4 linked regions of the Anolis sagrei genome follow. The protein of the gene in region 1 purifies or fractionates together with the protein of each later gene. This does not show direct contact. Links are inferred from orthologs where the notes say so. Each region holds a gene or a part of one and is shown in the gene's direction. Other genes may lie near its edges. The genes, in order: CSNK2B, CEP170, PHRF1 and RNF111.

Evidence for each region.
Region 2: the proteins of CSNK2B (region 1) and CEP170 purify together in Homo sapiens (affinity purification with mass spectrometry; 3 studies listed by BioGRID and IntAct, with this or other methods). This does not show direct contact. The link is inferred for Anolis sagrei from reciprocal best matches to the Homo sapiens genes CSNK2B and CEP170.
Region 3: the proteins of CSNK2B (region 1) and PHRF1 purify together in Homo sapiens (affinity purification with mass spectrometry; 3 studies listed by BioGRID and IntAct, with this or other methods). This does not show direct contact. The link is inferred for Anolis sagrei from reciprocal best matches to the Homo sapiens genes CSNK2B and PHRF1.
Region 4: the proteins of CSNK2B (region 1) and RNF111 purify together in Homo sapiens (co-immunoprecipitation; 3 studies listed by BioGRID and IntAct, with this or other methods). This does not show direct contact. The link is inferred for Anolis sagrei from reciprocal best matches to the Homo sapiens genes CSNK2B and RNF111.

The regions. Positions count from the first base shown.
Region 1 is NC_090022.1:19,659,756-19,667,824, forward strand, and holds the start of CSNK2B (casein kinase II subunit beta), read left to right. Parts: upstream 1-4,992; 5' UTR 4,993-5,102; intron 5,103-8,069. UniProt on the Homo sapiens protein: Regulatory subunit of casein kinase II/CK2.
Region 2 is NC_090021.1:55,663,913-55,671,887, forward strand, and holds the start of CEP170 (centrosomal protein of 170 kDa), read left to right. Parts: upstream 1-4,925; 5' UTR 4,926-5,163; intron 5,164-7,975.
Region 3 is NC_090021.1:240,404,086-240,411,510, forward strand, and holds the start of PHRF1 (PHD and RING finger domain-containing protein 1), read left to right. Parts: upstream 1-4,369; 5' UTR 4,370-4,536; exon of another isoform or gene 4,537-4,556; intron 4,557-7,425.
Region 4 is NC_090029.1:12,186,993-12,194,543, reverse strand, and holds the start of RNF111 (E3 ubiquitin-protein ligase Arkadia), read left to right. Parts: upstream 1-4,551; 5' UTR 4,552-4,737; intron 4,738-7,551. UniProt on the Homo sapiens protein: E3 ubiquitin-protein ligase. Required for mesoderm patterning during embryonic development. Acts as an enhancer of the transcriptional responses of the SMAD2/SMAD3 effectors, which are activated downstream of BMP.

The DNA.
Region 1 (8,069 bases):
TAGTTGTTCTACTCCAGAAACTTCGTTTTTGTGGCTGCCGCAAACTACGTTGAATTGGTCGAGACTCTAGGACAGGGGTCCTCAAACTAAGGCCCGGGGGCCGAATATGGCCCTCAAAGGTCATTTACCCGGCCCTCGCTCAGGGTCAACCTAAGTCTGAAACGACTTGAAAGCACACAACAACAATAACAACAATCCTATCTCATCAGCCAAAAGCAGGCCCACACTTCCCATTGAAATACTTAAAAGTTTATATTTGTTAAAATTGTTCTTCATTTTAATTACTGTATTCTTTTAAAGTGTTTTTGCACTACAAATATGATATGTGCAGTGTGCATAGAAATTCATTCATGTTTTTCTTAAATTATAATCCGGCCCTCCAACAGTTTGAGGGACTGTGACCTGGCCCTCTGTTTAAAAAGTTTGAGGACCCCTGCTCTAGGAGATGTCTACGACAGACATCAGAAGAGCTGCAAGACCAAGAACAAGCCATGAAAGTAAATACAAAGATCCACGCAGAGGAAAAGTATTCTTACCATACATCAAGGGAACCACTGGCCACATAGGGAAGCTGATGAAGAAACACAACCTAAAAGCAATCTACAGACCCACCAAGAAAATGCAACAAATGATACATTCAGCGAAGGATAAGAGGGATCCTCTAACCACTGCAGGTGAAATGAAATGAAATTAAACTATGTCCCTGAAGGGACTCAGGGTGGCTTACAGCAAAATAAACACAGTGACAAACATTCGATGCTGACAGTAATATATAAACAAATCATGGACAAACTCTAAAAAACAATAAGATATAATATAATCCAAATAGTTCAAAAATATTAAATCCTTAAAATCTCTTTTAAAAGATATTTTAATGAGATTTTACCATAGACTGTGCAGCTGTGGATGAGTCTACATAGGGACTGCCAAACACAGCATTGCCCAGACATGAATCGAAGATCATGAAAGCCATTCACCGGGATTGTGGCGCAGCTGGCCAAGTGTCAGCTGCATTCAGATCACTCTGACCAAAAAAGGTCATGAGTTCGAAGCCAGCCCGGGTTGGAGTGGGCTTCCAACCAGTTGTGTAGCCTGTTGTCAACCTTTGCAACCTGAAAGACAGTTGCATCTGTCAAGTAGGAAACTTAGGTACCACCTTGTGTGGGGAGGCTAAATTAACTAATTTATGAGGCCATAAAAAAGACTCCAGCAAAAACACTCCAGCAAAAGCATGCAGGGAATGCGGAAGTACTTCTTCAGATACGTTGTATGCCAAAACTGGCATTGAATGTTTGCCATATATGTATACACTGTAATCCGCCCTGAGTCCCCTGCGGGGTGAGAAGGGCGGAATATAAATAGTGCAAATAAATGAATGAATAAATTCAAGCAGAGAAGTCAGCTATAGCAGAGCATTTGATGAACCAACCTGGACACAGGATAATACTGTATTTGAGAACACACAAATGGTGGGCCACTCTGACAACCACTCTGCTGAACCACTCTGAGTCTCCTTTGAGGAGTTAAAGCAGGGTATAAATATAATAATAACAATAACAACAACCATGTCAGACTACACAGAGAAGTCACTGAAATCCCCAAATATGTGGGCAACTTCAACAGAAAGGAGAAAACAATGATAATGAACAAAATCTTGTTACCAGTATTAAAAAAAAACACCCAAATCAAGACAGTAAATAAGGAACACCACTCAAAAACAGGGGAACTCCAGACATCAAGCAATCAAGTGCCAGCTAACACCTCACAAACAAAGGATGCTCCTGGGCAACAACAGCAAGGCTTTGAAACAGCAAGGCTACTCCATGCTAATCAAGCTGGCCAATTGCAACATTCACACTTGCTCCAAACAGACAAGAGTTCTTTCTCCTATGTGTAACACAATTTCTGTTCCTGGGTTTTAAATGTCATTTCCTAATTGGTTCTATCATAAAAACATAGGAAAAGTTTGTTAAACTGCAAAAACTGCAGGGACATCCTACAGCACATTTTGCGATAGTTTTTCAATGAAAATTGAGTCTCAATCAATTTAACAGTTTGTGACGGCCACAAAAATGGAAGTTTCTGGAGTGTAACACCTCCTTTCAAAGTATGTAAATGCTTTGGTTGCTGTATATTTTTCAGGCTGTATGGCCATGTTCCAGCTGCATTCTCTCCTGACGTTTTGCCTGCATCTATGGCTGGCATCTTCAGAGGTCTGCTGGCAGTGAGGCAAGTGGAGTGTATGTGGAATGTCCAGGGTGGAAGAAAGAGCACTTGTCTGTTTAAAGTATGAATGCTGCAGTTAGCAAGCTCGAATAGTACTGGGTAGCCATAAAGGTGCATAGTCAATCAGTGGGGGTATCTGCATAGAGGTAACCAGGGCTTTGTACCACACCCACTATTTGGGAGGTGTTAACTGGCACATGATTGTTTGGTATCTGGAGCTCCCCAGTTTCTGAATGGTGTTCCTTATTTACTGTCTTGATTCTGGTGTTTTTTAAACTGACAAGGGTTATTTCTCCCATCCTGGACATTATTACACTCCACTTGCCTCACTACCAACAGACCTCTGAATATGCCAGCCACAGATGCAGGTGAAACATTAGGAGAGAATGCAGCCGGAACATGGTCATACAGCCCAAAAAACTCACAGCAACCTGGCGATTCTGGCCATGAAAGCCTTCTACAACATAGAAACACAATGTTTCAAATGTTGTTACACAGTGTTACCTTACTTCTAGTCCCTTCAAACCATAGACTTGTGATAAAGGACACAGTGATTCTCAGAGAAATGTTCTCTCTAAGTGCCCTTCCACACAGCCCTATATCCCAGAATATCAAGGCAGAAAATCCCACTTTATCTGAGTGTGGACTCAGATAACCCAGTTCAAAGCAGGTATTGTGGGATTTTTTGCCTTGATATTCAGAGATATAGGGCTGTGTGGTAGGGCCCTAAGAATTTGTTAGGTCCTAGTGTAGAGCTTCTTTCAACCTTTTCCCCACTTGTGACCCCTTTCTAACCCCTAAAAATCATGTGACCTCAGGTATATAAAATAGGTATAAAAATAAATAATAATAACAAATCAGCATATGCCAGCTTATTTTCCATTCTATGAAGAACAACTGAAGCATTTTCAGCAGAGTCCACAGTAAACATTGCAGAGAAAGTTCATGTAAATGCCTAAAACAACGACTAGATTAGAGTTAGCCGATTTTTTCTGGACCCCAACATTGAGCAGAGGGCCCCAGTTGGGCTCAGGACCCACAATTTAAATCAAGGGTCCTCAAACTAAGGCCCGGGGGGCGAATACGGCCCTCTAAGGTAATTTACCCAGCCCTCGCTCAGGGTCAACCTAAGTCTGAAACGACTTGAAAGTACACAACAACAACAACAACAACAACAATTCTATCTCATCAGCCAAAAGCACACCCACACTTCCCATTGAAATCCTAATAAGTTTATATTTGTTAAAATGGTTCTTCATTTTAATTATTCTATAGTTTTTAAGTGGTTTTTTTGCACTTCAAATAAGATGTGTGCAGTGTGCATAGGAATTCATTCATTTTTTTCAAACTATAATCCGGCCCTCCAACAGTTTGAGGGACTGTGACCTGGCCCTCGGTTTAAAAAGTCTGAGGACCCCTGATTTAAACAATAATGTTCTAGTGCAGGGCTTTTAGGCCCCTTCTACACTGCCATATAATCCAGATTATCAAATCAGATAATCCACATTATCTGCGTTACACTGGATTATCTGAGTCTACACTGCAATATAATCCAGGGCCCTTCCACACAGCAATATAACCGAGAATATCAAGGCAGAAAATTCCACAATACCTGCCTTGAACTGGATTATCCAAGTCCACACTGCCATATATTCCAGTTCAAAACAGAAAATGTGGGATTTCCTGCCTTGATATTCAGGGATATAGGTCTGTGTGGAAGGGCCCAAAGGCTTCCTTTTCCCTCTGCAGAGGCTGAGGGCCCTTCCACACAGCCCTATATTCCCAAATATTAATGCAGGAAATCCCACAATATTTATTATTTATTCATTTATTTACTTCATTTGTATACCGCTATTCTCAGCCCTAAAGCGACTCACAGCGGTTAACAACAATCAAGCAAAGCAAGACAAGGCAAAACAATGAAAGCAAAAATTCAATGCGGCATCAACAAGGTATTTAAAAACAATCAACACAGAAGCAAACTAAACAATTAAACAGTAGCAAACATTCAAGTGGCGTCTCATAACTAGAATCATGATCCAAACTCGTCAATCGTAGTTCCATTTCCTGAATTCATTGCACTGCCTATTCAAACCCCTGTTCAAATAACCAGGTTTTCACTTTTCTCCGGAATACCATCAATGAGGGAGCCAATCTAATGTCCGTGGGAAGGGCGTTCCACAGCCGAGGGGCCACCACCGAGAAGGCCCTGTCTCTCGTCCCGCCAGCCATGCCTGTGTTGCAGGCGGGATCGAGAGCAGGGCCTCCCCGGAAGATCTCAAAGTCCTAGTGGGTTTGTAGGCGGAGATGTGATCGGATAGGTAACAATATCTGCTTTGAACTGGGTTATCTGAGTCCACACTCATATAATGTGGGATTTTCTGCCTTGGTATTCTGGGATATAGGGTTGTGTGGAAGGGTCCCCAGAAAATCAGTTTGAACTCTTGAGTCCACAGTGACATATATTCCAGTTCAAGGCAGATAATGTGGGATATTCTGCCTTGATATTCTTTAATATCAAGCTGTGCGGAAGGGCCCTTAAGCGCCTTTCATTTGCAGGTTGGGAGTTGTAGTTTCAGAATATACCAATATCTTTTGAAGCCGAGAGGACTTAAAGGTCATTTGGACTCCATTTCCCAGCGCGCCCTGCGGCCTAGCCCCTGCCTTTGAGCTTCCTTTCCCGTTGCACTCTGGGGCTTGGAGTCCCTCCTCCCTTGTTCCCCTGCGCTTTCTTGGCGCCAAAGAACTACAGTCCCGCGATGCTTCGCTGCCAGCGGCAGTGGCGCATGCGCGGTTGAAGCTGGCCGAGGCCTTAGAGGTCCGAAGCTTGTTTGCGGCCCCGGCTTCCTCTCCTTGAGGCAGTTTTGCCCCCTGGGGTGAGTTCTGAGGGGGTCGTTTTAGGGAGTTGCTCCTCGGGAAAGAGAGGCGGGTGGGGTGGGATTCAGGCTTCCGGGGGGCTGTGTTTGGGGAAGACATGGGAAGGGGAAGAAGGGCTGCGTGCCGGTCTCATGTTTGTGGCCAAAGGGTACGCATAGAGGTGAAGCTGCTTCTTCTCCTTTCCATGGAGGGAGAAAGGCCTCATTTGCACTACCATATAAGGCGGATCGAAACACAGGAAGCAGAAACGTACAACCTCCCCAAACCCTAGGCCCCATCCGCACTGTCACATAATGCATTATAGGGTTAGAGTCAAATCATATAATTCGTTCCAAAATGGCCATACAGCCCGAAAAACTCGCAGCAACCCAGTGATTCCAGCCTTCAACAACACAATGTGGTGTAACTGTTCTGAATTGTGTTGGGCGCCTCTACAGTGTAAACCAGGCATGGGCAAACACCCTAAATCAAGAAATAGTTTTCTGAGAACTATAGAAACACTCACAGGAACACCTCAGCAAACGAGAGTCCAAAAGTGGCAGGCGAAAACTCAGAACCACAATCCATGACTGATACCAAATGAGAGACTTCCTCCTGGGCACACAGAAAGCTTGATTCCACAACTCCCGTTAAAATGAGCCCTCCTCCGTAAATTACCTGCTTCTTATTTATTTATTTATTTACTGCATTTGTTGATCGCCGTTCTCAGCCCTAGGGCGACTCACAGCGGTGTACAACATATAAAAACAGTTTACAATAAGGGAATATCACAACAATAATATCAATATAGCAATCAAATAATACAATTACACTAAATCATCCGCGCCGTCTCATCGTAGAATCATATACCAATCTCATTATCCATATTCCGTTCCAGTCATCATTGCCAATTGTTGTAGCACTTAGTCAAACGCCTTCTCAAATAACCATGTCTTTAGTCTTTTGCGGAATGTCATAAGGGAGGGCGCCTGTCTGATGTCTACAGGGAGGGCGCTCCACAGCCGGGGGGCCACCACCGAGAAGGCCCTATCCCTCGTCCCCGCCAGGCGTGCCTGTGAGGCAGGCGGGATCGAGAGAAGGGCCTCCCCAGACGATCTCAAGGTCCTCGTGGGCTCATAGGCCGAGTTTTTAATTAGTTTAATTATCTCACCCGAGTTTTTAATTAGTTTTAATCAGTTTGTCTTTTTAATCACGACATGTAGCCTGCCCACTATTACTGTGCCTGTGCGTATTGTAATTTTTATATTGTTATGTATTCATATGTTTTATGTAACTATGATGATATTGTTTATTTGCGTTTTCGGTTTCTGTTTTTGGTTTTTCTTTATTGTAATTGTCATTTGAGCTTGGCCTCATGTAAGCCGCTCCGAGTCCCCATTGGGAAGATGGTGGCGGGGGTATAAATAAAGTTTATAATATTATTATTATTGGCGCTGAACAGACTGCGCTCTGGCACCACGAGATACAGAGCCACAAAGTGGAGTCCACGGCATGCGAGTGAGGAGAAGAGCAAACCACAGACCACCTATTACAAATCAATCTGAGCCCTGCTACATGCACAATGAAGGATCTTCTTATAGCAACACCAGAAGCACTCCAACTGGCCAGCTACTGGTCAAAGGACATTTAATAGAATAACAAGTTTGCAAACTTTCAGTTTTGTTTGTTTGTTTTTAATGCAATACAACTGTTTGGTTTGCTCCTGACATGATAAATAAATAAATTGGGTTCTTATAGGTTTTTCGGGCTATATGGCCATGTTCTAGAGGCATTTTCTCCTGACGTTTTGCCTGCATCTATGGCATCCTCACTACCTCTGAGAATACTTGCCATAGATGCAGGCGAAATGTCAGGAGAGAATGCCTCTAGAACATGGCCATATAGCCCAAAAAACCTACAACCCAGTGATTCCGGCCATGAAAGCCTTTGACAAACAAACAAATAAATAAATAAATACCATCAGATATACTATTTGAAGGGCAACCAACCGTGGCTGAAAGAAAAAGGACAAGTTTGTCCTAGACTTCTGTGCCAGAAACAAGCTTGTGTTGCTGGAAGTGAGCCTCTGGAGACCACTGAGCATTTCATCAGGGACTGCCCTTTGACCAAAGAGACCTGGCAAAAGGTGGCCATCGTCTTTGACTGGTCGGACTTGGTGCTCCAACCTTGGGATGCTGTGGCCTCTGGAATGGAGCTGGAAAACTGTATTTAGGGGCAACGTCGACACTAAGGAAGGAAGAGGAAGAGGGGGCAGAAGGCGTACACTCAAGAGGTCTTTTGGGATGTTCCTTGGTCACCGACAAGGTTGATCAACTTGTATGTTCTCCTGGCCCTGGTTTTACAGAGACGTCAAGAAATAACAACTCAAAACCCAGCAAATGTTACCTCTAGTGTAAATTGGGGAGCAGAGAAAATAAGAGCCCTGAGTAAAACGGAACAAGGCAGGATGCCTTCTAACTGATGGAAAAGCTCTTGATACCATAAATAAAAATAAAATGGGCAAACTTGGGCCCTCCAGGTGTTTTGGACTTCAACTCCCATCATTCCTAACAGCCTCAGGCCCCTTTCTTTTCCCCCTCAGCCGCTTAAGCAGCTGAGGGGGAAAAGCAAAGGGCCCAAGACAGAATTGTGGAAGTTGAAGTCCAAAACACCTGGAGAGCCCAAGTTTTCCCAGGTGAAAACTCAGATAATACTGTTTCACTGCACTGAGCTGCATTATATGAATCTGCACTGACCCTGTAATGCAGTTTCAAATTACATTATATGGTAGTATAGATGGGGCCAAGGTTTGGGAGTTCTCTGTCTCTGGTATGTATACAGAGAGCCTTTAGTTGGTACATAACGGGCAAAGCCACTGAAAATAGTACCTGTGGAGCAGGACTTCTAGAGAAGCCTTTCACAGAGTTAGTTTCTGGGTAAGCAGGGAGAATAGCCAGGTGAGTTATGGTGAAAGTGTGGTTGCTTAT
Region 2 (7,975 bases), on another chromosome or scaffold:
CCTGGCCCGCTTTGGGTCCGGAGGCGTGTCTGAAGATAACAGCGTGCGCACCAAAAGTCGCCTCTTCTCCTGACTTTCTCTTCAGCCATTGGGACCAAGAGAGAGAGAGAGAGAGAGAGAGAGAGAGAGAGAGAGAGCCCCTCCAGCTGGAGGTATCTCCCACCTCCACTCCCTCCTTTGATTTTGCGCCTATCTTCAGGAAAGGTGGGCCTCCCCACCTCTCTCGGTCCCAATGGCTGAGGAGAAAGTCAGGAAAAGAGGTGACTTTTGGTGCATACGCCGGGGTCTTCAGGCACACCTCCGGACCCAAAGCGGGCCAGGCAAGGGAGCAAGTGCGGCAAGTGTAGTTACTAGGATGTATAGTTCATGTACAATCAAAGAGCACTCTGAACTCCACCAATGATGGAATTGAACCAAATATGGCACACAAAACTCCCACAATGAACAGAAAATATATATCAATGATTGGTTGGGGTGGGGGGCAAAATACTGTTTGCTTACCTTTGAAAATTACCTAGGGCCGGCTCTGTGTCTAGTGTTGATGCGCCCTTAGTCAATAACGCTGAAGCTTTCAAACTGTTTCTGAACTGAATACATCATTAATTTTACATTAGTAAATGTTTTGGTTAATTAGAATTCTTAATTTCCATGTTCCCATGTTCTTGAATTATGTTTGAGTTGAAGTCCAAAGTACCTGGAGGGAGGGCCCAAGTTTGCCCATGCCTGTATTTTTGTTTTTGTTAGGAGCGACGAGAGAATTGGCCATCTGTTAGGACGCTCAGTTGTTTGATGTTTTACTATCCTTGTTGGAGCTACTCTCATGTCCCCGCATGGGAAGCTGGAGCTGACAGAGGGAGCTCAACCCGCTCTCCCTGAATTCAAACTGCTGACCTGTCAGTCAGGAGTCCTGCTGGCACAAGGGTTTAACCCATTGTGCCATAGGAGGCTCCTATGTTATATCAACCAATAAATAGTGAAGCACTTTGTGGCACCTGTATTTTTCAACGAATGACAAACTTAATCATGTTGGGGGGCGGGGGTTGTCTAGTTTGAAAACTTAATTTGAATTGCATTTTAATCTTTATATTTAATGACAGATGGACACCAAGAGGCCATCAAGGGGCAGACCTCACACTTGATGGGAGAAACCAATGGTTAAACTATTTGGCCAGAAATTGAAAAGAAAAGCATAGGATCCTATATTTTGGCAAATGGTAGATTTGCATAAAGCCCAAAGGAGTCGATCCATGACAAATAGAATAGAATAGAATTTAATGGCAAATATTTCATTGTTTTTTTAAAAAAATTATATTCATACTAACATGCCTTGTTTTTAATTTGTATTGTATTGTATAATATTCACTTGAGTCCCTCTTTTGGGAGAAAGGTGAGATAAAAATGTGTTTGTAAAGGTAAAGATTTTCCCTGACATTAAGACTACTCATGTCCAACTTTCAGGATTGGTGTTCATCTCCCGTTCTAAGCCGAAGAGCCAGCGTTGTCTGTAGGCACCTCCAAGGTCATATGGCTGGCATGACTGCATGGAGCACCGTTAACTTACTGCCAGAATGTTACCTATTGATCTACTCACATTTGCATGTTTTCGAACTGCTAGGTTGGTAGAAGCTGGGCTTAACAGCAGAAGCTCACCTTGCTCCCCGAATTCGAACTGCCAACTTTTCGGTCAGCAAGTTGAGCACCTCAGCAGTTTAACCCACTGTACCACCAAACAATAAATTTTACTACCACTTTGTGGCACCTATATTTTTTAATGAATGACAAATTTAATCGTGTTGGGGAGGGGGGCTGCTGAGTTTTAAAATATAATTTTAATTGTATTTTGATTTTTATATTTAGTGACAGCTGGATACCAAGAGGTCACAAGCAGCCTTGGGAAGAACTCGTACTCGATGGGATGACCAAATGGTTAACTATTTGTTCAGAAATGGAAAAGAAAAGCACAGGATCCTATATTTTGGTAGATTTGCACAAAGCCCAAAGGAGTTGATCCACAACAAATAGAATAGAATAAAACAGAATTTAATGACAAAGATTTCATTGTTTGAATTTTTATATTCATACTAACATCCTTATTTCAGGAGCAAGGCGAGATAAAAATAAAGTGTGTGTGTGTGTGTATTGGCAGTTAGGAAGTGGGTGTTGCCACAGCTACCATCGAATTGGAAGAGACCTCCAAAAGCCATTCAGTCCAACCCCATTTATTTATTTATTCACTATATTTCTATCCCACTCCTCTAACCCTGATGGGACTCAGAGTGGCTTGTTTCTCCCTTCTCTGCTATATAGAAGAAACCAGGAGAAGATTATCACTCCACCTAAGGAACTCACCACTTCCACCCCATGCACCAGGAAATCATTGTCGGCTAGGATCATAATTGTTGCGTTTTCTACTTTCTGGATGATACAATTGTCTAAAAGGAGGTGTTTGTTAGACTTCACATTCTTGGTAGAGTTTGTCTTCCAACAAATGTCAGGATAGTTAAAATCTTCCATTATTACTATATTTCTCGTTGGTCATCTAATCTAGAAAGCTATCGTCTAAGTTATCAGTCTGGGTTGAATGCCTGTAGTAGACCACCACAACAACATCCCTGTTGTTTCCATGACATAAATCCTGGCTTTCAGGATTTATGTCACAGATGTCCACACAAGGTGTAAACATTCTTGATATACAATGCATCTCATCCTCCTCCTTTCTTGTCAACTTCTTGACACTGTACTCCAGTTGATGCAGCATAGAATCGCATTGGTTTTCTTAGGTGCCACACTGCTGACTCATGTTCAACTTGTGGTGTATTATGACTCCTAAATCCCTTTCACATGTACTGTTTTCCAGCCAAGTGTCACCCATTCTATATCTGTGCATTTGATTTTTATTGTCCAAGTGTAGTACCGTACATTTTTGCCTGTTTAAATTAATTTTGTTAGTTTTGACCCTCACAATTACACAATGACCTCCCTCTTCTCTCACTTTAATTTTTTCTCCACATGCTCTCATCTTGGCTTCACAGGTATACTATCCTTGATTATATAATGTGACTCATCTTACTTTCTTGTTTGATCTGTTTCTCAGAAAAATATATCCCTCTATTACTACCTTCCAATCATGAGATTTGTCCCACCAGGTTTCAGTGATCTATTTTCTCACAAATTTTTAAGAGTTCAACTTCATCTTGTTAATTGATTGTGGAGTAGTGTCAAAGATCATTCCTTCTAGTTGCTTATTTTCCCACAGTAACAGCTGGGCCATTAATATCTCCAACACTTAAAGCCCTCCTAACCAGATGTGTAACTCTTACCAAACACAATTGGTCTTCTGTTGTCGTGGATTCAACTAAACACGGCTTCAAAATATTTTTTAAAATCCCAAAAAGCAAACCCAGTTCAAAGCAAATATTGTGGGATTTTCTGCCTTGATATCCTGGGTTATATGACTGTGTGGACGGGCCCTGGGTTATCTGAGTCTACACTGCCATGTATTCCAAGTCAAAGCAGATAATGTGGGATGTTATTCATCTGTGTGGAAGGGGCCTAAGGCTCCTTCCACACAGCTGAATAACATCCCACATTATCTACTTTGACTTGGAATACATGGCAGTGTAGACTCAGATGTTGTTCATTCATTCAGTTGTCTCTGACTCTTCGTGACCTCATGGACCAGCCCACGCCAGAGCTCCCTGTTGGCCGTCACCACCCCCCCAGCTCCTTCAAGGTCAGTCCAGTCACTTCAAGGATGCCATCCATCCATCTTGCCCTTGGTCGGCCCCTCTTCCTTTTGCCTTCCACTTTCCCCAGCATAATTGTCTTCTCTAGGCTTTGCTGTCTCCTCATGATGTGGCCAAAGTACTTCAACTTTGTCTCTAGTATCCTTCCCTCCAGTAAGCAGTTGGGCTTTATTTCCTGGAGGATGGACTGGTTGGATCTTCTCGCAGTCCAAGGCACTCTCAGCACTTTCCTCCAACACCACAGCTCAAAAGCATCTATCTTCCTTCGCTCAGCCTTCCCTAAGGTCCAGCTCTCACATCTGTAGGTTACTACAGGGAATACCATGGCTTTGACTATGCAGATCTTTGTTGCCAGTGTGATGTCTCTGCTCTTTACTATTTTATCGAGATTGGACATTGCTCTCCTCCCAAGAAGTAAGCGTCTTCTGATTTCCTGGCCACAGTTTGCATCTGCAGTAATCTTTGCACCTAGAAATACAAAGTCTGTCACGGCCTCCACATTTTCTCCCTCTATTTCCCAGTTGTCAATCATTCTTGTTGCCATAATCTTGGTTTTTTTGACGTTTAGCTGCAGCCCAGCTTTTGCGCTTTCTTCTTTCGCCTTGATTAGAAGGCTCCTCAGCTCCTCCTCGTTTTCGGCCATCAGAGTGGTGTCATCTGCATATCTGAGGTTGTTAATGTTTCTTCCAGCAATTTTCACCCCAGCTTTGCATTCATCAAGCCCCGCACAGACTCAGATAACCCAGTTCAAAGCAGACATTGTGGGATTTTTTGCCATGATATTTTGGGTTATATAGCTGTGTGGAAGAGGTTAACACTGTTTGTGCCAATTACTTTGACTGCATTTTGAGTCTTTTCTTGTAATCGTAACACAACAGGACTGATCATTTTTAGCAGGACTGATAATTTCTAACCATCTCAGAAGAACAGATAACTCTATTTTCCATTTCAGCTGCTCTTCAACCGGTACACGAACTATTTTATGGCCAAACGTTTGTTTTGTTTTGTTCTTTTCTCTGCCTCTTTCTATTGTCTACAAAGAATTTGATAGCGCAAGCCGCCTTGCGCCTGCGCACTAGGTTATTTCGGGGGCAAAGCATTTTGTGCCCCCCCCCCCGCCTGTGGCTATGTGCGCGAGTGTCGCCCGCGTGCGCGCTTGTGTGTCAGTCAGGAGACAGCGCCTGCGCAGTAGTTCTTCTCGCCCGCGCCGCGCCGTTAGCCGCGCAATACGCTGGGAATAACGTTAGAACGGTTTACAGAAGCGCGCGCGACGCAGAGAGAGAGAGAGAGGGGGAGGGTCCTCGCGCGCCCTTCCCTCCCTCTGGGCCCCTCCCCCTCCCTTCCCTTCTCCTTGCTCTGGAGAGGGAAGATGGTGGGCCTCTGAGTCAAGGGCGCGTCTTGTGGCTTCCCGAGCGGGGTGAGTGATGCTGCGCCGGGCCCAAGGCCCTTTTTGCCCAGATGGGTGGGATGTCCCCTGTGCCTCCCTCGGGGAGAAAGCGCCGCCAGTACAGGCCTTTGTGCGCCCCCGCCCCTTCCCTTCTCCTTCCCTCCCCCGAGGCGGGTGTCTGCAGCACCCCGGCCGACGTTGTTGTGGCTGTTAGGAGTGGGACCTGCCCTTCCCATCTCCCTTTTTGTTCTCTTCTGTGACCACTGTTGCGTCTCCAATGGCTTGCCTCTCTTGAGACTCAGGGAAGGCTGCAAGGGCTGTGGGTGTAAGAGGAGGGACGGCCCAAATTGCACCCAGGTGGAGCCTTTTCCCCCCCATCCAGCCTGGATCTACACTGCCACCTAATCCAGTTTCAGGATGCCTTGAACTGCATTATATGAGTCTACACTGCATTCAGAAACTGGATGTTATATGGCAGTGCTGATGGGACCCCAGAAAACACACCCAGGCAGGCCCCTTTTACACTACCATATAAAATCCAGATTATCTGCTTTGAATTGGATTATATGGCAGTGTAGAAGGGGCCTCAGAGGTGCCTGAAGAGGGCCTTGCCTCTCTGTTTTGTTATTCTTCCTATCCATCTCTTCCAACTATCTCGATTCTCCTTTGTCCACATATTTCTGATGGCGCAGGCTTTTGTGTGTATATGCCTTTGTAAAAACAATCCAGCCAATTGAAGAGTGTGTGTGGTTTGTGCAAAAAAAGAGTAATAATCCGAGCCTTTTGTATTCCAATATTTCCTTCATGTATAAACACCCCATAATAATAATAATAATATGAGCCTTTTGTATTTCAATATTTCCTACATGTATAAACACCCCATAATAATAATAATAAATTGAGCCTTTTGTATTCCAATCTTTCCTACAGCTTAAGTATAAACACCCCCAATCTAAGGTCATAATATATTTTTAGATTACTGTAAAATTAGACTTTAAAAATATCCCCCCCCCCCCCAAATAACATAGGTATATATGTTTTTTAATGTAGTCTTTGGTCAGAGAACCGGCTTCTCAGAAGCGACACATATCAGGCTGTTTGTGGAAAGCATCCTTCCAAATTGTTCATTTTGTGCATGTGGGAGGCGTCCTAGTCATAGCTGCTTTCTTGGAAGTGAACTGCATTGGTTGCAATGCTAATAAACAAATCTTTGAGTGGTTTTGAAAGAATCCAGCATTTTATGAAAGAGGAAGCTGACTCGATGAAGGAAGCATATGACAGCTTTACAGATGAGCTGCCTTTTGTGATCTCATCTAGTCATTGCCTGGAACCGGATGCTGGGGATGGGGGAAGGGAAGAGGAGGGCTTCTGCCCAGAACTGTTTTCTAGTACAGCGTGCACTTACAATTCAGTTAGCCTCTGGCATCAGGTAAGATATTGCTTTTGCATCTGAGCAGGAAGTCATTGAATGCATTAAATGGCTATGGCTGTTCAAAAGATGGCACACACACAGAAGAGCTACATTTTGCTTAAGAGAGCAATGGGTTTGAGTTACTTATTATTTCTCAACTAATTTTTAAATATCTGCTGGTAACAAAATTGCATCAGATAAAAGCTAGTGTGATTTTCTTTTCAGCTGTTAGCAAAGAGCAAGTAAACAAGCAGTGTATGGTGAATACTTGTTCAAATTGTTTCCTTATGCAATAGGAGCAAAGCAGATTCTTTATACATTATTTATTTGAAACAGTATACAGTACTCAGGTTTTTAACATGAGAGTATTTGGTGCCATGCTTTTATACAATGCAACCAAGAGGAGTTTGCCAGCACTGAATTGCATTCACGAGTGGAAGGGTTGGAAGGAGGAAGAAAACTTGATGTAACAAAGCTTTAAAAATGTAATGGGCGCAGAGGAAAATATGTAGCCCCCCTAAAGAATATACTAATCTTTAGTCTAGTATAGTGCATTAATTCCAAAAATATGTTTGTGATGAATAATAAAATCATTTAGAGACTTGCAGATATCTTGTAGCTGACAAAAATCAAGGGCCGGTGCCTCAGTATTAATGCCTCTTGAACAAGAACCCAAACTTTGATTTTGAATGCAAAAATGCCTAATTTTAATCTGTATTGTACACGAAGGGATATAATAAATAATAATAAATAATAACAAAACTTTATTTGTACCCCGCTACCATCTCCCCAAGGGATTCGGTGCGGCTTACATGAGGCCAAGCCCACAGCACATCAATAAACAAAAGCAATAACAATAATCAATACAAAACAGTTAAAATAAACTCAAAAACAGAAAATACACAATAAGCAATAAACAATAACAATATCAAAGCATACAGCATTTAAAAACCTATGTGATGTTACTTATGGAGCCCGCCTTCCAATATAAGGAAGTGAATTAACATTGAGTGAACTGAGCAGTTGCTGAAGGAGTTGCTGCAAACAGAACAACCTTGGTAATGGTTGACAAGGAAATCAGGGACACAAGAGAGCAGTGATCCAATAAGAAGGGGAGGAGAAATTAAAAGAGCCACCCAGAAGAACCATGGGGCTGGAAGATGTGCTGTTCAGTACTTTTTCAGTCAGGTTGATTGTCAGATAAAACAATGAAGAAAAAGACTAATTAAGCTTAAATTTTTCTTTTTTGAATGTGAATAGTTACTGAGAAAGCATGCATAATACATGCTTCCTAAAAGGTACTGATTTCCAGCCAAATAGAGCCTTGTGTGCAAGCTAAGATCATAAAAGTATAATTTTCAAGTGGGTGTAGCATACTTGTCTTTTGTATTACAGACTTCTATCTACTTAAAACCTTGTTCTACTATATGC
Region 3 (7,425 bases), on another chromosome or scaffold:
TGGTATCCAGACAGGGGCTGGGAGAAAAGTGCAAGAGCTGATAATAATTACGGCTAGAAGGGTGAAGTCATTTGCCATTTATGCTAATAATACAATATATTGTATGTACACATAACTTGTAAGCTGCTCTGAGTCCCCTTCAGGGTGAGAAGGGCAGAATATAAATGCCGTAAATAAATAAATAAATAAATGGCAGTGTGGACTCAGATAACCCAGTTCAAAGCAGATATTGTGAGATTTTCTGCCTTGATATTCTGGGATATAGAGCTGTGTGGAAGGACCTATTGTTTACTGGCACTATCTGTGTGAAGTCTGATTCAGTGAGAATATATACTCAGAAGAAATCCTTAGTAAATTCAACAACAGCAAGGACATGCAGAGTTGTTGGCCATGCTGGCTTGCAACTCCCACCAGCCCCAGCCAGCACAGGATTGGAAAGGATGATGGGAGTTGTGGTCCAACATCACTTGGGATTCTGCCCACCCCAGGGCACTCACTGGCGTGTAGGGCTGTAATCCCGATGCAAGGATGGCTGTAGTTGCCCATTTCTGGCTCTTCTGCGTGGCCCCCACTTTGGCAGCTGGGAATCACGTCATTTCATTCTTAGGGGTGCATCTCCACTATAGAATTCATGCAGTTTAAGGCAACTTTAACTGCTGCAGCTCAGTGTTATGGAATCACGGGAAACTGTAGTTTGATAGGGTATCATCATCACCGCTCTCCAGGAAGGACGGTTCAAGATCTTGACGAACTGCAGCTCCCACGATTCCCCAACACTGAGCTAGGACAGTTAAAGCGATGCCAAACCGCATCCACTGTACAGTGCGGATGCAAGCTCAGTGGGGGACTGTGCTCCCGCGGAAATGCTTCTTAAGAAGGCGAGATTTTCCTCGTGGGCTCGTGGCCTAATCTCATCCCGCTATTAATTAATCCCGGGGAGCGCGCGCGCGCGCATAGGGGTCTCTCTGGGATGCAGTTCTGTTCATCGGGTCCCTCACGCGCCGCTCGCTCGCGCCGCCGGAATGAAAGGAAGGGCTCGCGGGAGGCCCCTAGCGGCGGCCGCGCGCCTTGCAGCCTCTTGCCTCCACCCTCAGTTGGGCCCCTCCAAAATGCTCAATGGCGGCTCACGCCCTATTTCCAAGGTGCCCAGGGCAATAAACTCAACTTTAAACGCTTCCCAAATAGGGAATATACTAAATCTGGATTCAGGCACTGGATTATATATGGCAGTGTTGGTACGGCCATAGGAACTTTGAAGCCGTCTACTAAAGTGGCGTTTTCCAAAGGCTGGTCTTCCATATGTTTTGGACTTGGGTTCATCTACACCAGGGGTCCACAAACGTTTTGAACAGAGGGCCAGATCACAGTCCCTCAAACTGTTGGAGGGCCGGACTATAATTTGAAAAAAACATGAATGAATTCCTATGCACACTGCACATATCTTGTTTGTAGTGCAAAAAAAAAAAAACCTTAAAAAACAATATAATAATTAAAATGAAGAATTTTAACAAATATACACTTACTTGTATTTCAATGGGAAGTGTGGGCCCGCTTTTGGCTGATGAAATAGGATTGTTGTTGTTGTGTGCTTTCAAGTCATTTCAGACTTAGGTTGACCCTGAGTGAGGGCTGGGTAAATGACCTTGGAGGGCTGTATCTGGCCCTCGGGCCTTAGTTTGAGGACCCCTAATCTACACTGTAACATTGATATGGTTTGACACTGTTTTACCTTCCATGGAATCCTGAGAGCTGTTGTTTGGGGAGGAACTAGTACTTCTGGGCAAAAAAGGCTAAGGACCTTGTAACACAGGAGCCGCTTCCACACAGCTGTATAAATCCACACTGAACTGGAATATATGGCAGTGTGGACTCAGATAATTTATGCCTTTTTAGGCTATCTTAATTTCTATTACAAGAAACACAGTAACGCAATAAGGAGGCCTTAACAAATCTTTGGCCCTCCACACAGCTCTATATCCCAGAATATCAAGGCAGGAAATCCCACATTATCTGCACTTGGTCTCAGATAACCCAGTTCAAAGCAGATATTGTGGGATTTCCTGCCTTGATATTCTGATATATACAGCTTTGTGGAAGGGCCCTACATCTCATAGCTATTGCTATTAAATTGTGCCAAACTGCATTAATTCTACAAGTGGGGGCCCTTCCACACAGCCCTATATCCCAGAATATCAAGGCAGAAAATCCCACATTATTTGAGTCTGGACTCAAGATACCCCAGTTCAAAACAGATATTCTGGGACATAGGGCTGTGTAGAAGGGCCCGTAGATGCACAATTAATCTCTCAATAGCCACTCTGACCATCTACACTGAGGCCTCTTTCATACAGCTGAATAAAATCCCACATTTTCCGCTTTGAACTGAAATAAATGGCAGTGTGGACTCAGATAACCCAGGGCTCTTCCACACAGCCCTATCTCCCAGAATGTCAATCCCACATTTTCGGCTTTGAACTGGGTTATGAGTCCACACTCGGATAATGTGCAATTTCCTGCCTTGATATTCTGGGATACAGGGTTGTGCAGAAGGGCCCCCAGTTCAAAGCAGATATTGAGGGATTTTCTGCCTTGATATTCTGGAATATAGGTCTGTGTGGAAGGGCCCTGACATAGAATTCAAATTATCAAAGAAGGCAACACACATTATTTGCTTTGAACCTGATTATGGGAGTCTAAACTGCCATATAATCCAGTTTAAAGCAGATAATCTGGAATATATGGCAGTGTAGAAGGGGTCCACATTCACTTGAGACTACTACTATAATGAAACTCAGGAACTATTATTATTATTATTATTATTATTATCATTATTATTATTATTATTGGGTTGATCTGTGTTTGTATGGACTGTATGGCTATGCTCCAGAAGCATCCTTTCCTGACGTTTTGCCTGCATCTATGGCAGGCATCCTCAGAGGTTGTTGTTGTTGATGATGTTTGGTGATATTTTATGATCAGTTGCTTTGAGTGTCCTGCAGGACAGTTAAATTGGGGTAAAAGGTGCGATGCAATACTACCTTTAGCCACTATGTATGTCCCCTTAGGCTCCACCTCTCAAGAACATTGTTGGTGAATCGCTTACTTCAAAAGTTGAGCCTTTTTTTTTTAATAGATGAGCCTTTTTGGATAAATGAGTAAGTAGACAGTCTGTATATACATTTACAAACTTGATGTAACAAATTGTTCAACTGTATGTGTGTATTCATATGTGTTGTTTGTAGACCCAACCACCTGACGAAGGCTCTTGTGAGTCGAAATCGGTTGCAGGTTGGAGTTGAGTCGTGTGACTACTGGAGTCTACTCGTATGCAATAAAGAATAAGATTTATTATCATTCAAGGACTATTAATCACACGAAGGTTTTGTTTCATACTTCAAGAGAAGAAGCAGTTGTTTCTGCTTAATATGAATGTGGCAGCTCTGTGTTTTGTTGATATGTGTATTTGTAATGTATACATTGAGTTAATTTAGATACTTTCACATTACGACAATCAGTGGATTTTGGTCTCCAAAGGTTTTCCCGACATGAAGTCCAGTCATGTCCGACTATGGGGTGTGGTGCTCATCTCAATTTCTAAGCTGAAGAGTCGGCGTAGACACCTCCAAGATCATGTGGCCAACATGACTGCATGGAGTGCCGTGGGGTACAAATAAATATAATAATGATGATAATAATTTCTTACCCGCCTTCCCTCAACCTAGTACACAAATAAAACCATCTGAACACACGTATCCTCTAAAGCAGTGTTTCTCAATGTGGTTTTTCAGATATTCCCAGAATTCCTGATTATTATTATTGGCCGAGGTGGTTGGGGCTTCTGGAAGTTGGGAGCCCAAACCTTTAACCCAGGCATCCTCAAACTGCGGCCCTCCAACTCCCAGAAGCCCTAGCCAGCTTGCTCAATGACCGGGAATTCTGGGAGTTGGAGGCCAAAATAGCTGGAGGGCCGCAGTTCGAGGAGTCCTGCTTTAACCCCTGATGCTAAGGTAGATGTTGTAGTTTGTTGAGAAAGCGGCGCTCTCTGGCAGAGTACGCTTCAGACCTTGTCAAACGACAACTCCCATGATCCCATAGTAGGAGCCACGGGCGTGAGGAAACTGCGTCGTTTCTACAGGGGAGGTAGGCGCATCCCCGAGAGCGACACACTCCTTTTGTAAACAAGGCGCAGACTTCTTTGAGCACCCTCGACTCAGACCCGGCGCATGCGCAGGAGGAGGCTGAGAGGAGCGCGCCCGAAGGATTACCCCACGCGACGATTGGCTCGCAGCTCCCCCCCGCCCCCCCTTTCGTAGTACAGAAATAGAACAGCCCGACACTTCCGCCTCCTCTGGCCCGCCCACCGCGTACGATCACCCGGAAGTGGGACTTCCTTCTCTTCCGGGGCGGCCACGGCTTTGGCCTTCGCATCGGCCCGGCTTACTCTCCGTCCTCGCTAGATATTCTCTTCGTTTCTGCTGTCACCGGAGGCGGGGGCCGCGCGTGCGCATTGCGGTCCTGCTGTTGCCTCCTAACCTGGTAGGGTCCCCTCCTGACAGGTGAGGGGCAGGCCAGCTCTTTACGTATTCCTATGGGGCGGGCGCGGGGGGGGGGGGAGAGGTATGTTGTTGTTATGGAGTCGCCACAATGTGGAGGGAGAAGGAGAAAGGCCTTTGACTGTTGTGACTGTAGTCTAGCGCCATGTCGAAGGCCCCCTTTATAGAATTGGTTCCCGATTAAGAGGTATTTTCGTAGCAGGAAGGCTGTGTGTCTGTCTACACCAGGCATGGGCAAACTTGGGCCCTCTAAAGTGTTTTGGACTTCAACTCCCACAATTCCTAACAGCCGGTAGGCTGTTAGGAATTGTGGGAGTTGAAGTCCAAGACACCTGGAGGGCCCAAGTTTGCCTATTCCTGGTCTGCACTGTGGAAATAATAGATATTGTTGCCTGAATGCATTGCCCCAATGGCTTGGTCCCACAGCCAGGTCCTCACCATCCTTCTGAAGAACAGGAGGGAGGGGGCTGATCTCATATTGCCAGGAAGGGAGTTCCATAGCCGGGGGTCAATCACTGAGAAGGCCCTGTCTCTCATCCCTGCCAAACGTGCCTGTGATGGTGGTGGGACCGAGAGCAAGGCCTCCCCAGAAGACCTTAGTTTTCGTGGTGGTTCGTAAAGGGAGATGTGTTTGAACAAGTAAACTGGGCCGGGGTTGTTTAGGGCTATCTAAAATACATAGATGCACCAACAGTGACCTCTTTTTAAACTGCTTTTCAACACAAAAGTGAGTTTGAAGTATTCTTGAACACAGGTTCATGTTACCTGCATCAATTATCAGTATTAACTCACTCCCTTGGTATCATTTATCTAATTTTACTAATATCTCTTCGAGTATTTAAGGGTAATGTCATAAATGTCTCTGTTAACTTCTAATATTTGACATGTTGGTTCTTTTTCTATGCAGTGGTAGTAATCTGCCAAGTACCAGTAGGAGGGAAAGTATACAAAACTCTTCTAGAAATGGCAGTCATCTACTAAATAACAACAGGAACAATTAAACAGTTGTATTGTATAAGCACCACCCCTTTTCAGCTACACATTTATTTAACCATGCTGCTCTTTTGACAGAACTAAATTTTAACCATGTTTCAGCCTGGTTTGCTCTTATGCTGCTGCTTTTTAAGGCTTACTGGTTTTCTCACACTCAGTTCCAGTGTTTAGCATCTGCAAACTATCGGCCACTTTTGTTTCTGATACTGGCCCAATCCCTAACCCAGCAATGGCTTCTTGTATTGTTTAGTTTTTCCATTTCTTCTTCCTTCCTCTGACTATGTGTGTGTATATATATATATAAACATATTTTAGATCACATCCTTTGGCAGGGTAGGCTGTTTTTGTTGTTTTACTTGTAGAGTTCTGTGTCCATTGTTTACACTATAAACAATCACAGTTGGGAGGAAAGATTATTTAAATGTAGGTGTTTGTCAGTCTTCATTTTTCAGTCACTAAATCCTGGAAACTGTTTAGTCTCTCACATTCTTTGTACAATATGCCTTAGAGTTTTCATTATAATCCTTTTATTGCTATCTTTTAAAACCCAAATATTTCTAGGCTTCCTTTATCACATGAAATTCTTGTGCAGTACTGAGTATAAATAGTTCATAATTTTTATAAAATGGATACATGAGTAATATTCAACTATTTTGTTATATAATATCCATTTTTTAAACAAAAGATCTAAATGCAGACAGTGATGTTATCTAAATCAGACTAGTTTTAGATAACATTATTGTCTGTATTTAGATTTTTTTAAATGAAGAAGGTGCTTGGAGTAGAAGGTGGTAAGATAGGGTAGACAAACTAAAGTATTTATAGCAGTTAGGTAATGCTGCCAGAAAAAATTGAGTAGATTTTTGCCTCAGTGTCTTGTGTTTTGAATGCAAGGCACTGAATTCCCTTCCCTGAATTCTGCACATCTGATAGCAGGGCAGGCTTTTTCAATATCCTCCTGATGTCAGTAGTATGTTTTACTGAGTAACAATAGCTGAGAATCCTTTGTCTCAGCCTCTTTCTCTCTTCCATCTAATTATGTACCTGTTAAACATTTCATTCTAATCTAAAAAACAAAAACAAAAAACAAGATGAAGGTTTTACTTCGTAAATAAATGGGAGATGGCAAAGGCTTGAGGCTCAAGTCTTCTTTTTTACTTCTGCTTCTCTCTACATTAGTGCTACTAAAGCCTTTCTGCTTATAGCCGTTTTCTTCTAACTTGTTGATGAGCAAGAGCAGACCCCTTTTGTCTTTTAGCAACTGGTTAACAAGAAGAACTCAATTAAAAAGTAGGGTTGTAAAATGGAAGGGAAAAAGCAATTTCTTAGTGAGAAATTGAAAAGCCATCTCTCCAAGTTTTGTGAATCTGGTTTTAAAAGGAGGTGTGTGTAGGGCCAGGATTTACCAAGGAAGTGAAGACAATGTAGTTTTTCAGACATAATGATGTTGGGTTTTTGTACCTTGCATTTCTTTATTGATTGAGACCCAAGGAAATCTGTAGAGATCTCAGAATTACTTAAACAAAACTGTCTGCTGTATTAGGCCTTTTGTAAGAGGAACAGACTGCCACTTGCTTTGTGGGAAGGCAAAGGCATCCTGTATATATTCAGAAGTAGAGTTACTGTATTGTTTCTGGATAGGTTTGTTTGGGCATATACCCATATTTACTCGAGTCTAATGTGCCATCAAATCTTATGCGCACCTCAATTTCCAAAACTCTGAAACAAAAAAGGTATTTGTTGGCAAATGTAATGCTCAGCGGCAAAAAGTGCACTCTTTATAATTTGGACAAAAAGGTGTACATTATAATGGTTGCTTTCTTATAATTCCATCTTTAAAAACAGAAGTGTTAGAACACCAAAGCTTTTAGTGGAAAAG
Region 4 (7,551 bases), on another chromosome or scaffold:
GTCAATGTCCACCAAACCCTTCCAGTATTTTCTGCTGGTCATGGGACTTCTGTGTGCCAAGTTTGGTTCAATTCCATCATTGGTGGAGTTCAGAATGCTCTTTGATTGTAGGTGAACTATAAATCCCAGAAACTACAACTCCCAAATGACAAAATCATAATTTTTTGAGTGATGGTCACTCCTTGTGTTGTGAGACATTTTGTTGCCAAATTTGGTGTGATTTCGTTTATTGGTTCTTTTGTTTTTAAGGTACTCATTATGCACAGAGCATTTTTATATACCGTATATAGATAAATCATGCAAAGTCAAGGGGGAACCATGACAGCCTTCCCTCCCCCCAAAATCCTTAAAAGTTCATAAAGAGTTGTGGAATTTCATAAAGGGTTCACTGGGGTTAGGCAGAGGGCGCCTGAGAGTTCCAAAGTTCACCAAAAGTTGATTAAAATTTTAAAAAGTTGCAAAAGTTCATAAAGGTTGGGAGAAAGTTCATAGGGAGCCTTGGAAAGTTCATAAGAGTCCACGGGGAGCACATTGGGGTTACTGTGAGTGCTGATGGTCAAGATCCATTCATTTGAAGAAAGGAAAACTATAAATCCAATTTTGTCCAATGGCCAGAATGCCCCGTCAGAGGTTCAGGATTCCCAAGGGGTGACCACGGCAGGTTCCCCGGGGTTGGCAGGCTTCTGGACACACACAAGATGGAGGCACAAATGTCGCTGCCGCATGGAGCCATGGACCAAAGTCAACTGGTCCCCACATGAGGTTTTGAGATAAAAATGATTTTTCTCGGGGCGCAGGGGTCCATAGTGCAAAAAGCGAGATGGCATTTAGTCTTAGAATTAATCTAGGAAAAAGATGGCACCGGTCTGGAGATGGTCCGTTGACCTGCAGATACGGGGGCCAAATTGATTTCCATATCCACGGTTCAGAGGAACACAGTTTCGGCCTCTCCGGGACGCTGTAAGAGCATCCTTGGCGAGCCAGCAGTGATCTGAAGCTCAGAAAAGGAAAGGTTCATGTTAGAACGGGTTAGAGCAGTGTTTCTCAACCTGGGGGTCGGGACCCCTGAGGGGGTCACGAAGGGGTGTCAGAGGGGTCGCCAAAGACCATCAGAAAACACAGTATTTTCTGTTGGTCATGGGGGCTCTGTGTGGGAAGTTTGGCCCAATTCTATCATTGGTGGGATTCAGAAGGCTCCTTGATTGTAGGTGAACTATAAATTCCAGTATCTACAACTCCCAAATGTCAAAGTCTATTTTCCCCAAACCCCATCAGTGTTCACATTAGGGCATATTGAGTGTCCGTACCAAGTTTGGTCCAGATCCATCATTGTTTGAGCCCATAGTGCTCTCTGGACGTAGGCGAACTACAACTCCCATACTCAAGGTCAATGCCACCAAGCCCTTCCAGTATTTTCTGTTGATCATGGGAATTTTCTGTGCCAACTTTGGTTCAATTCCATTGTTGGTGGGGTTCAGAATCCTCTTTGTTTACATGTTAACTATAAATCCCAGCAACTACAACTCCCAATGACAAAATAAATCCCCCTGCCAAACCCACCAGTATTCAAATTCGGGTATACCAGATATTTGTGCCAAATTTGTTCCTGTGAATGAAAATATATCCTGCAGATTATTATTTACATGGCGATTCATAATGTTAGGGTTATGGTTGGGGGTCACCACAACTGTATTAAGGGGTCGCGGCATTAGGAAGGTTGAGAACCACTGGGTTAGAGGCAGTAAAGGGATACAACATATGACTACAGAGAGTGAAATGTTACAAATAAATACTTCTTTATTGGGGGATAGTTACAATGTTAGGGAAGGGGAAGGAAAGAAAATGGAGAGAAATAGTCTTTAGTTGAATGCTGCTGTGGCCACAGTCTCTTTGTTGCTGGCTCATCCAGATGTTCAGGAACTCTGCTGCACTTTCAGATCAGCTTGAAAGCTGGGGCTTGAGAGCTCGATCTCACATTTCCATTTAGGGGAGATGTAGTTCACCTACATCCCGGAGAGCACTGTGAACCCAAACCACTATGGATCTGGACCAACTTAACACAATACTCAATATGCCCAAATTTGAACAATGGTTTAGACTACTGTAACACTCTCTACGTGGGGTTGCCTTTGAATACAGCTCGGAAGCTCCAACTAGTCCAACGTTCGGCAGCCATGATACTAACAGGAGCGGAGCGCAGGGAGCATACCACTCCTCTGCTGCACCAGCTCCACTGGCTGCCGATCTGCTACCAGGCTCAATTCAATGCTGGCGTTGGCCTTTAAAGCCCTAAACGGTTCTGGCCCAAGCTACCTATCCGAACGTATCTCTGCCTATCAGCCCGCCAGGACCCTAAGATCTTCTGGGGAGGCCCTGCTCTCTATCCCGCCTGCTTCACAGGTGCGGCTGGCGGGGACGAGAGACAGGGCCTTTTCTGTGGTGGCCCCTCGGCTGTGGAACGCCCTTCCCATGGAGGTAAGATCAGCCCCCTCGCTAATGGTGTTCCGAAGAAGATTAAAAACCTGGATGTTTGAACAGGCATTTGGTTAATCAGTGCAATGAATGTGACGATTACAGGAATGGAAATATGGACGACGAATTTGGATCACAACTCTAGTTATGAGATGCATTGTGTTGTTACTGTTGTGTAATATTGTATATTGTGCTCTTGTGGTTTTAAATTGTATATCGTTGATTGATTTTATCCTTGTTGTAAACCGCGTTGAGTCGCCGGTTAGGCTGAGAAACTGCGGTATACAAGTAAAGTAAAGTAAATAAATAAATAAATAAATAAATGGTGGAGTTTAGGGAAAATAGACCTTGACATTTGGGAGTTATAGTGCTTGGATTGATAATTCACCTACAACCAGAGCATTCTGAACTCCACCAATTATGATATTGAGCCAAATTTGGCACACAGAACTCCCATGACCAACAGAAAACACTTGTCCAACTTGTTTGGTGGGCATTAACACTTGTTTGGTGGGCATTAACCTTGGGTTTTGGAGTTGTAGTTTCCACCTCTGCTTGAAGACCACAAGAGAAGGAGATTCCATCATACTTCGAGACAGAAGTCCATTCCACTGTGGGACAGTTCTTGCCATCAGGAAGTTCTTCCTAATGTTTAGGTGGAATGGTCATTTGTGTAAATGTTGAACATTGATGGAGCAAGCACGCTCCCCTGAAGCAGGCCGTTCTTCTGTTTCCGCCATCTGCTTCTCTGGCCCTGAACTCAACAAAAAAGCTCCTGTTTTGTAGCAGGTTTCCTATGAAGCAGGTGAGGTGGTAGTCCTTTGTGATTGTTGTTCATTCGTTCAGTCGTCTCCGACTCTTTGTGACCTCATGGACCAGCCCACGCCAGAGCTCCCTGTCGGCCGTCACCACCCCCAGCTCCTTCAAGGTCAGTCCAGTCACTTCAAGGATGCCATCCATCCATCTTGCCCTTGGTCGGCCCCTCTTCTTTTTACCTTCCACTTTCCCCAGCATAATTGTCTTGTCTAGGCTTTGCTTTCTTCTCATGATGTGGCAAAAGTCCTTCAACTTTGTCTCTAGTATCTTTCCCTCCAATGAGCAGTCGGGCTTTATTTCCTGGAGGATGCACTGGTTGGATCTTCTCGCAGTCCAAGGCACTCTCAGAACTTTCCTCCAACACCACAGTTCAAAAGCATCGATCTTCCTTCGCTCAGCCTTCCCTAAGGTCCAGCTCTCACATCCGTAGGTGACTACAGGGAATACCATGGCTTTGACTAGGCAATGGATCTTTGTTGCCAGTCTGATGTCTCTACTCTTTACTATTTTATCGAGACTGGACATTGCTCTCCTCCCAAGAAGGAAGCGTCTTCTGATTTCCTGGCCACGGTCTGCATCTGCAGTCATCTTTGCGCCTAGAAATACAAAGTCTGTCACGGCCTCCACGTTTTCTCCCTCTATTTCCCAGTTGTCAATCATTCTTGTTGCCATAATCTTGGTTTTTTTGATGTTTAGCTGCAACCCGGCTTTTGCGCTTTCTTCTTTCACCTTGATTAGAAGGCTCCTCAGCTCCTCCTCGCTTTCGGCCATCAGAGTGGTGTCATCTGCATATCTGAGGTTGTTAATGTTTCTTCCAGCAATTTTCACCCCAGCTTTGCATTCATCCAGCCCCGCACATCCTCGAATGATGTGTTCTGCATACAAGTTAAAAAGGTTGGGTGAGAGGATGCAGCCTTGCCGTACGCCTTTCCCAATCTTGAACCAGTCTGTTGTTCCGTGGTCAGTCCTGACTGTTGCTTCTTGGTCCTTGTACAGATTCCTCAGGAGAGAGACAAGGTGGCTTGGGATGCCCATCCCACCGAGAACTTGCCACAATTTATTATGATCCACACAGTCAAAGGCTTTAGAGTAGTCAATTCTAAAGCCTTTGACTGTGTGGATGACCCTGCCATGACTCTCACCCAAAAGCGTCGCACCAGAACCAGACGTGACGTTCAGTGCTTTTGAACCTCTTTACTCCCTGAGGGGGCGGGGCTTAGGAGAGGCGGTGGCGGCGCTGCTTGGCGGCTTTGCCGTAAAGCAATCCCACTGCCGAGTGTCGCGCTGCTGCGTCCGCCGAGCAGAGCGACAGAGGCGGTGAGGAAGAGAAGGAGGAGGAGGAGGAGAGCGGCGCCTGAGGGAAAGCCAGGCCGCGAAGGGGGAAGGAAGGAAGGAAGGCAGGAAGGCTCAGGCCTAAGCCTAGCGGGAGGCCCCACCGCGCACCCTCCGGTGAGTAGGCCCGAGGAGGGCCCCTGGCCTCGGGCATAACTGCAAACGGAGGCCGTGGCTTCGGGGGGAGACTAGGCCCGGCCCGGCCCGGGAGGAGAAAGACACGCAGATCTGCTTGGAGAGAAGGGGGCCTTGTTATATTGTATAGGCCCCTTTCACACAGCTCTCTCTCTCAGAATACAAAGACAGAAAATCCCACATTATCTGAGTGTGGACTCAACTTAGTTCAAAGCAGATATTGTGGCATTTTCTACCTTGATATTCTGGGATATATCTATATGGAAGGGCCCATAGATATAGATACATATGGAGGGAGATTGTGGCTCGGAATATATATATATGTATCACATTATATTATAACACACACACACATATAATGCCATATATATATGTATGTATATAGCTGTGTGGAAGGGCCCATAGATATAGATACATATGGAGGGAGATTGTGGCTCGGAATATATATATATGTATCACATTATATTATAACACACACACACACATATAATGCCATATATATATGTATGTATATAGCTGTGTGGAAGGGCCCATAGATATAGATACATATGGAGGGAGATTGTGGCTCGGAATATATATATATGTATCACATTATATTATAACACACACACACATATAATGCCATATATATATGTATGTATATAGCTGTGTGGAAGGGCCCATAGATATAGCTACATATGGAGGGAGATTGTGGCTCGGAATATATATATATATTTATATATGTATCACGTTATATTATATCACACACACACACACATATAATGCCATATATATATATATATATGTATGTATCACATTATATAGCTGTCCCCTGCCACACATTACTGTGGCCCACATGGGGGTTCTGTGTGGGAGGTTTGGCCCAATTCCGTCGTTGGTGGGGTTCAGAATGCTCTGTGATTGTAGGTGAACTGTAAATCCCAGCAACTACAACTCCCAAATGACAAAATCAATTTTTTTGAGTGAAGGACATATATTGGGTTGTTAGGTGTCTTGTGCCCAAATTTGGTGTCAATTCGTCCAGTGGTTTTTGAGTCCTGTTAATCCCACAAATGAACATTATATATATATATATATACACACACACACACACACATATATACTAGCCGTCCCCTGCCACGCGTTGTTGTGGCCCATTCTGGTGGTTATGGGCTTTCTGTGTGGGAGGTTTGGTCCAATTCTATCATTGGTGGGGTTCAGAATGCTCTGTGATTGTAGGTGAAATATAAATCCCAGCAACTACAACTCCCAAATGTCAAGATTCTATTTTCCCCAAACTCCACCGGTGTTCACATTTGGGCATATTGAGTCTTCGTGTAGAGTTTGGTCCAGATCCATCATTGTTTGAGTCCACAGTGATCTCTGGATGTAGGTGAACTACAACTCCAAAACCAAAGGACAGTGCCCACCAAACCCTTCCAGTATTTTCTGTTGGTCATGGGAGAACTGTGTGCCAAGTTTGGTTCAATTCCGTCATTGGTGGGGTTCAGAATGCTCTTTGATTGTAGGTGAACTATAAATCCCAGCAACTACAACTCCCAAATGACAAAATATTTTTTTTTAGTGGAGGGCATATATTGGGTTGTTAGGTGTCTTGTGTCCAAAGTTGGTGTCAATTTGTCCAGTAGTTTTTGAGTTCTGTTAATCCCACAAACGAACATTACACACACACACATATATATACATACATACATACACACACACACACATATATATATATATACTATCCGTCCCCTGCCATGCGTTGCTGTGTCCCATTCTGGTGGTCATGGGGAGGTGTGTGGGAGGTTTGGCCCAATTTCTGTGTGGGAGGTTTGGCCCAATTCTGTTATTGGTGGGGTTCAGAATGCTCTGTGATTGTAGGTGAACTATAAATCCCAGGAACTACAACTCCCAAATGTCAAGATTCTATTTTCTCCAAACTCCACCAGTGTTCACATTTCGGCTTATTGAGTATTTGTGTAGAGTTTGGTCCAGATCCATCATTGTTTGAGTCCACAGTTCTCTCTGGAAGTAGGTGAACTACAACTCCAAAACCAAAGGACACTGCCCACCAAACCCTTCCAGTATTTTCTGTTGGTCTTGAGAGAACTCTGTGCCAAGTTTGGTTCAATTCCATCGTTGGTGGGGTTCAGAATGCTCTTTGATTGTAGGTCAACTATAAATCCCAGGAACTCCCAAATGACAAGATCAATTTTTTTTAAGTGACGGACATACATGGGATTGTTAGGTGTCTGGTGACCAAATTTGGTATCAATTTGTCCAGTGGTTTTTGAGTTCTGTTAATCCCACAAACGAACACTACATTTTTATTTATATAGATTCCAGGCTTTTATATCCCGTCATATCTCAATCTCCGCAGAGGGACTCGGGATGACTCCGTTCATCCCGAGTTGTTGTTCATTCGTTCAGTCGCCTCCGACTCTTCGTGACCTCATGGACCAGCCCACGCCAGAGCTCCCTGTTGGTCGTCACCACCCCCAATATATATATAGATATATATATACATATCACAAAATATAATAGTATATACATATATATATGGAGCCCCAGTGGTGCAGTGGGTTAAACTGCTGAGTTGCTGAACTTGCTGACCAAAAGGTCGCCGGTATATTTTATTCTCTCTCTCTCTCTCTCTCTCCCCCTCCTCCCCTCTCTCTATAAAACATTATATTATATCTATCTATCTATAGATATAGATCTGGAGGGAGATTGTGACTCAAAGATATATCTAGATCTGCACACACAATTCAATATATTACATAAAACAAGGGTCCACAAACTTTTTAAACAGAG